2 linked regions of the Medicago truncatula genome follow. Each later gene encodes a partner of the first gene's protein in a complex. Links are inferred from orthologs where the notes say so. Each region holds a gene or a part of one and is shown in the gene's direction. Other genes may lie near its edges.

What was found.
Region 2: transcription initiation factor TFIID subunit 15 (region 1) and transcription initiation factor TFIID subunit 7 share a complex: the UniProt entries of both Arabidopsis thaliana proteins name them as parts of the TFIID complex. The link is inferred for Medicago truncatula from reciprocal best matches to the Arabidopsis thaliana genes TAF15 and TAF7.

Annotation. Positions count from the first base shown.
Region 1 is NC_053045.1:36,236,836-36,240,594, forward strand, and holds the start of transcription initiation factor TFIID subunit 15, read left to right. Parts: upstream 1-780; 5' UTR 781-977; intron 978-1,557; 5' UTR 1,558-1,606; coding exon 1,607-1,726; intron 1,727-2,082; coding exon 2,083-2,438; intron 2,439-2,543; coding exon 2,544-2,735; intron 2,736-3,759. UniProt on the Arabidopsis thaliana protein: TAFs are components of the transcription factor IID (TFIID) complex that is essential for mediating regulation of RNA polymerase transcription.
Region 2 is NC_053044.1:41,304,629-41,308,098, forward strand, and holds transcription initiation factor TFIID subunit 7, read left to right. Parts: upstream 1-772; 5' UTR 773-967; intron 968-1,333; 5' UTR 1,334-1,335; coding exon 1,336-1,587; intron 1,588-1,692; coding exon 1,693-1,812; intron 1,813-1,922; coding exon 1,923-1,992; intron 1,993-2,287; coding exon 2,288-2,445; 3' UTR 2,446-2,850; downstream 2,851-3,470. UniProt on the Arabidopsis thaliana protein: TAFs are components of the transcription factor IID (TFIID) complex that is essential for mediating regulation of RNA polymerase transcription.

The DNA of each region.
Region 1 (3,759 bases):
TTAAGTGCAAACATTAGTAGATCATCATGGAATGAAATTAAAAATACACAATTAAATAAAATCCAGAATTATGTTCTATACAAAATGTGAATAACATTTTAATGTAAAAATATCAATAGTCCTTATTTTTTTTTTTTGAAATATCAATTCTCTTTATAATTGCTAGGGGAGGACGAGTAAAAATTGGTAGGAGAATGAAAATTTGGTAGGAGAATTCAAAAAGTTAGCTTTTAAAATTTTCATGTTTAACTAGCATAGTTAAATAAAATTCATAAAATACATTTATCATCTTCCATAATTTGAAATATTAAAAAAAAAAAAATCATGTAATCAAATTTTTTTTTATAAAGAAATAAAAATAAACAAATATGTCATTTTATATTTACCAGTCATTTTACCAAACATTTTAATTTTAATAGGCTATATTTTCAGTTACAAGTTATCAGTAATTAACTATAAACTAAATTTTTCCCTTAAAAAAAAAAAAACTATAAACTAAATTTTCAACTATCAACCAGCTTATATCTTATTTTTACCAACACACCATTTTTTATCTCTCTCCGTCATATATTATGGACTATGAACCATTACCAAACTTATTTTCAAACCTTGTTAGCGGATGGTTTAAGCGTGTGTCCATTTCAACGACGTAGCTGCTGTTTTGTTTTTCTCTTTTTTCATGTAATAAAAAAAAAACATGATTCTGAATTTATTATTTATCTGACCTAAGTAAAAGAAATTGCTGAAAGTAACAAAAAAAAAAAAAGAAAAAAAAAAGGAGAATGGCCGTAGGGATAAGCTGTTTGCTATAGGCGAAATAAAAAGGAACGCGAATAAATTAAAACGAAGAGAAATTAGCGAGGAGGGGGATACTGCAGACGGAGCGATAAATCACAGATCTATCTATTCATCGGAGAAGAAGAGAACATAGCAGAGCGCGTGCGTACTTCTCTCCCTCACGCGCTTCTTCGATTCTGGTTAACTCTTCTTTCCCCTCTTCGTTTCTTCATTCCATTTTCCTGTATAAGAATTGAATTGCAGTAATTTCGTTTATTTAATCAAATTATCTTCGTTCCTCTTTCAAATTGCTAGATTACTTCATTTGTTATCTCTTTCATTTCCTATTGCATATTTTGCATTATCGTACAACAATTATTTTTTCAATTTGTCACTTAAACCTATGATATTTGCAGCTTCCGCATTCAATTTTGAACTTATAAAAGTGATATAGATTCGTTTTTCTTATGATTTGCATCCATAGTCTTATTCAATTAGGTTAGCATTTTCATACGGTTTCACAAGTGCTTATGTCAGTTGATAAGCTCAAATAAGTCAGTCCAAACAATTATGTAGTGTTCGCATGCTATTTAGTACAAAATGTCAAATAGCTGTTATAAAGAAGCTATAACATTATCGCATAGCGGAATCTGATTAAATCACTATTTTCCGCGAACCGCAATTGACAATACTGGTGTCAAGTATCTTGCTTCTTTTACAATATTGTATTTAGTTTTTACACTGTTAAAAGAAGTGACGTGCATTTGTTTGTTTTCTCAGAGCTCTGTGCTGGTTCTCATTGCCTTTTATTTCATGATATTGAGATTCGATGGCAAGCATTCCTGGAAAATTTGCTCCTTCTAATGGATCTATCTATGTTTGCAACTTGCCTTATGGGACTGACGATAATATGTTGGCTGAATATTTTGGCACCATTGGAGTAATAAAGGTATGGAGTCTGCAACTATCCTTCGATTCAAAACAATGCTATGTTATTCTCCAATTTTATTTTTCAAGGAAAGGAAATTTTACAGGATTTAGGAATATAACTACCAGAACGTGTTGGTAATGTTTGTGACTTTATTATGGTCAGTTTGGAAATTCATATTTCTATGTAAGATGTGATTACTTGAATGTTTTTTTTGTCTGTCCTTGCAAAGTGAGGTTTATTTGGGATTACTGAATGATTGATTTGTTTTTTTTTTTGTTGCATTTTGATTTCCTATTTATGCGGTTCTGTTTTTCTGTGTTGCGTTCTATTTCCAGATTATCATTCATTTTTCATTCACAATCCATGTTTTGCAGAAAGATAAACGTACAGGGAGACCTAAAATATGGTTATATCATGACAAAGAGACTAATGAACCAAAGGGAGATGCTACTGTGACATATGAGGATCCACATGCTGCCGTGGCTGCTGTTGAGTGGTTTAACAACAAAGATTTTCATGGCAATACAATTGGAGTTTATATAGCGGAGTCAAAAAACAAGGATGACCAAACATATACTGCAATAGCAGAACCGGTTGTTGCGGGTACTGATGTCGGACCAGAGGAAACTGAAAGTGATGTCGATGGTGTTAATGGAAGAGGCAGAGGTCAAATTGATGCTTCCAGCAAACCATGGCAACAAGAGGGCGATTGGATGTGTCCGAATACAAGGTCTGTGATATGAGATCGGTGAGCAGCTCTTTCTTGCTCTTTTACACATTGTTTCAGTCATAGTTTTTTGCAGAAAGAATAACACTTTTTTTTTTGTCATAGCAGTTGCTCGAATGTGAATTTTGCTTTTCGGGGTGCGTGTAATCGCTGTGGAAGTGCACGCCCTGCTGGTGCTTCTGGCGTTGCAGGAGGAGGTGGCCGTGGCAGGGGACGTTCTGGGCCAGATGCAGGGGGTATTGGCCGTCCAGCTGGTGCAACTGCAGGACTATTTGGTCCCAATGACTGGCCTTGTCCAATGTACGATTTTGTCACATTATCCATCCCCACATTCTTTCCGTGTGTCTGATTTATTTATACTTGTTTTTTATTTTATATTTTGTTTCTCAATTCTAATTCACTATTTTAGCGATAACAATTAACACATATATATTTCTTATTAAATTTGATAAACACGTTGCCCAGTTTCATCAATTGGGTTACTCATTACTTGTTGTGTTGTATTATGTTGGACGTAGTGCTGGCGAACAGTTAAGCCACAAGTAAATTGAATATGATAGTGAGATATATGTTTGTATATGTATAATACACAAAGACAACATACTCTTGTGAATGAACATGGCTCAGAGAAGAGTTAATGATACCTGTTTTCTTTAATTGATACCTCCTGATTTTGCACTTTGCAACGTTGGCTGCATGAGATTTGTTAACTTTGATAAGGAAATTTTATAAACTAGCCAAATTGCGTTCCCTTTTGCATTGAGTATTAATTTTGGCACATCCCGACCCAATCTATCATTTTATCATCTACTATTCTAGTTCTCTATGAATTTTAAAGGAAGCAATCATCATGTGAGAGGTTGATTGAGTGCAAATCTAGTGGCCTTTCCAATTTATATAAGGTCAACTGATTCTGTTACAATTTACAGCCAATAAGTGTTTATAGGCTGTTGATAATATGATGATGACGTTGAGGTGAGCTTTGTAACTTCTTTGACTTTGTTGTTAACCTCTCCCCGGGTTCTGGTTCTTGTCCTCATCTACTGAACTTCTCTTTCCTCTGTCTCTTTTGTCCTTGTGGGTTGTGACAGGGTTCCAGTTGTTGTAGCAAATTTAGGACTAAGATTGTACACTGTTGGAACTTGGGAGTGTAGTGCAAGTTGGCTATATGATATGGGGCTTATGGTCAGTTATATTATCACTAGTTTTTATTCATTTTGAATGAGTCTTGCTCTGCTTAACTGAACAGGCTAATATGATACGGGGCTTATGGTCAGTTATATTATCACCAGTTTATTCATTTTGAATGAGTCTTGCTCTGCTT
Region 2 (3,470 bases), on another chromosome or scaffold:
ACTTTAAAAGATGGACCAAAAGTAGTGATTGAAAATTTTATAGGGACTAAAAGTTGAAGGAAAATTTTAAAGGGACTAAAACGAAAAGTTGGTATATTTATAGGGACCAAAAACATATTTAACCCCAAAATAAATAACTCAAATTAAAGAGAAATAGGACGTTCGTTTTTCTGATATCTTTTCGATGATCACTTCCGTAGTTTGAACCGGTCTTTTTTTTTTTTTTTTTTTCTTCCGGTAAATCTCAATGAAGCCCTCATCTTCCTTCACTCTTCAATGTTTCCTTTCACCCTTTGCAACAATTATCTCCAGTGTTAATTTAGGTGGATTAATTTAACTTCTTTAAAAAAAAAAAAAAAGTAAAAATATCATTGATGTTCTAGATATAAAAATATCTTGATCGAAAAAAAAATAAAAAAGATTTTTCTTTAAAAGGGATAAATTACCTCCAATTCATTGAGGTATAACGTAAAAAAATCCTTATTTACAAGGTTCTTGCAAAAAAAAAAACAAAACTGTAAACTCTCTTTTATACACTGCTATATCCAAATAAACTGAATTATTAAAAAAAACAAACAAATTGATTCTGTTTTTTCATAATATCTTTATAAAATAATCTCTAAATTATTTTTTGGGAAAATTAGCTAACAAAAATACCCTTAATTGTTACTTTTTCCTTTAAACTTAGATCCAACGGTTATAAGCTCATCCTAGAGAAGACAACAATAGCATCCGTTGGATGAATGATGAATCTGACCCAAACCAAAGCCACGTGTTTTCTTCAATCCCCTTCATTTGCTTCATCTTTTTCTCTCTCTTCTCTCGCAAATCCTTCCAATCCGAAAACCCTAGCGCCATCGTCACTTTCGAATTCCGGCTGCCACAGACCTCATCTTCCAAAATTGAACCGATCAAATTGTTTCTTATCATCTCTTCTTCGAAAGCCCTCAATCAATTTTTGATTTTTGTAAGTTATTTCGGAAACATTCAATGTAATCATGCTCGTAATAAATCAATTTTAAAAATCCATGGGCCTCAGTTCAAGATAAAATCACTGATTAAAGACTTCACGATATCGTGCTCGTAATAAAAATCCTTTTTTTTTTGTTGTTTTTGTTTTTCCAATCAATTTTGATCTTTTATTGTTTGTGAAATTTCATTTGAAAATCCATTGGAATTGTCTCATGAATGCTGATTATCATTGATTATTGGTATATACTGATGCAGTTATGAAACCAATCAATTGCAATGCCCGATTCTTCAATTCAATTCAATTTGATTATATTATTATTTACTATTTGTAATGATTCTAAAAACAACCTGATGGAATTAGATATGGAGGAGCAATTCATACTTAGAGTTCCACCTAATGTTGCGGAGCGGATTGAGCGTCTTTTGAATGAAAACAATGCTTCTTCATCTGAAGACAAGTCGCTAGATTTGCAATTTAGCGATGATGGAAGAAGCGGAACGTTTGTGATTGGGGATGAGCATTTCCCAGCTTCTCTGCTGGACCTTCCTGCTGTCGTTGAATCTTACAAGACTTATGATGATAACTCTTTGGTTAAGACTGCTGATATTGGTCAGGTCAGGTATCTATCGTTAATTCATATTATTTGTTTATTCTTAATCATACTCCTAGATTTGGATGATTAAATAACTGATTGCCTTCTTAATGAATTCAATTAACAGATGATTATGGTGAGGGAATCTGGTGATGCTGCTCCAGATGTAATTGAGTATCGACATGGTCTCACCCCTCCCATGAGAGATGCCCGTAAGCGTAGATTCCGCAGAGAGCCTGACCTTAATGTAACATATTCATATGTGCTTGCATTATCTTAGCATACCTGATGCCGCTCTATTATCTGTGCGTTTGTGTGTCCCTTACTTACCATGTGTTTTCATTCTTCGTTTTCCAGCCTGAGCTTGTCTCTCGTGTTGAGAAAGATCTTCTCAAAATCATTGCTGGAGGAACGGCTGAAAATATTGATATCCTTTCATCTTGTTTGTTTTAAGCAGTTGTTTAGTAAACATTCTAAGTCTTAGATTCAAATTTACGATTTCACTTTAAAAAAATTCTTTGAAATGGAGGTCTGTTGAGATTTTTTTGTCGATTACTTTCTTTGCCCTGATAACTCATTTCTCTATCTGACCTGGGGTTCATGGCATAGCTTGTAGTATCTATTTGCATTTGCATTTGCATCAATGACAAAAGCAAGTGTTTTGCTTTCATTATATTGTTAATTGTAAACAACCTTTGGCTATTTTCTTGACTGAGATTCACATGTGGAAGTAGCTGAGCAAGAAGGTGGTGAGAATGCTCGAGGTGCTAATAAAAAACCTGCAGCTACATCCGCATCAAAGAATGATGTTCCAGAGACTCATACAAACGCTGGGGATGCTGACAGGAGTGACTCTGATGACTCTGATGACTCAGTTTAACCGATATTAGCTAGCTACCAAGGAGCATTTATATCAGATGAATGCTTGCAACACCTTTCTTGACATGTTCTTGAACACTCTTTATGATTTAGACTTTTTTTTTTTTAATAGTTGATTTGGTTGTCTCACTTTTGAAAAATATACCCACCTTTTTAGAAATGAATCAATCATAAAAGAGTATCAGAAAGGTGTTTTGTTGGCATTCACTATGTATAATCATGTGCTGTTGAATTTGAATCCCGTTTAGAGGAATAAGATGGGCTGCAATTGATTTGTTATCCCACATTGTGCATTTTGGTACATCATTTGTTGTATTTTAACACCATTTTTTATTGTGCAACTGCCTTTAAGGTCCTAATTTACCCAGCATATATATGAGAATAAGATTAACCATTTGTTTTTTAAGCTATTGCGTTTTAATGTTCTGTCACCGTGTCATTGTACAAAGCAAATGCGTCATACTCGATTTAAGTTATGTTTAGTATTTATCATCTGTTGGCTTATATTGTATTTGATTAGTTTGTAAACATGTTTGGCTAAAACAGGTGTTTGATAAATGAGTTTATTTACTGGGTTATTGTATGTTTTAGATACTATTAAAAGTTACGTTGAAGTTTATAGTTTAGTGTTGAAGGTTTCCAATAATAATTGGTATGAAGCACTAAAATTCAAAGGATCAACGGTACTTCAATATAATGAAAACATTAAACCAAACTTTGAAATGACAATGTTCAAGTGAGGCCTAAAAACATAAATTATCTACTTCACAACTAAATTAGAAGTTTAGTGGCTACACATGGAGGAATTATCAACAATACATAAATAAAAGAGGAATTATGTCTCGACGAAGTAATAAAATCAACACATTTATTAAACTTGCGGTTGACAAGATACACCGAATGATCCCAATCTAGACGTCAGAACTTCATCTAGAATGAATTGGAGAGGAGAGGATGGAGCAATCTCCGAATTAATCAAAGCAACCATCGCCGAAGAGGCAACTTCAAAACACAACACATTATTAA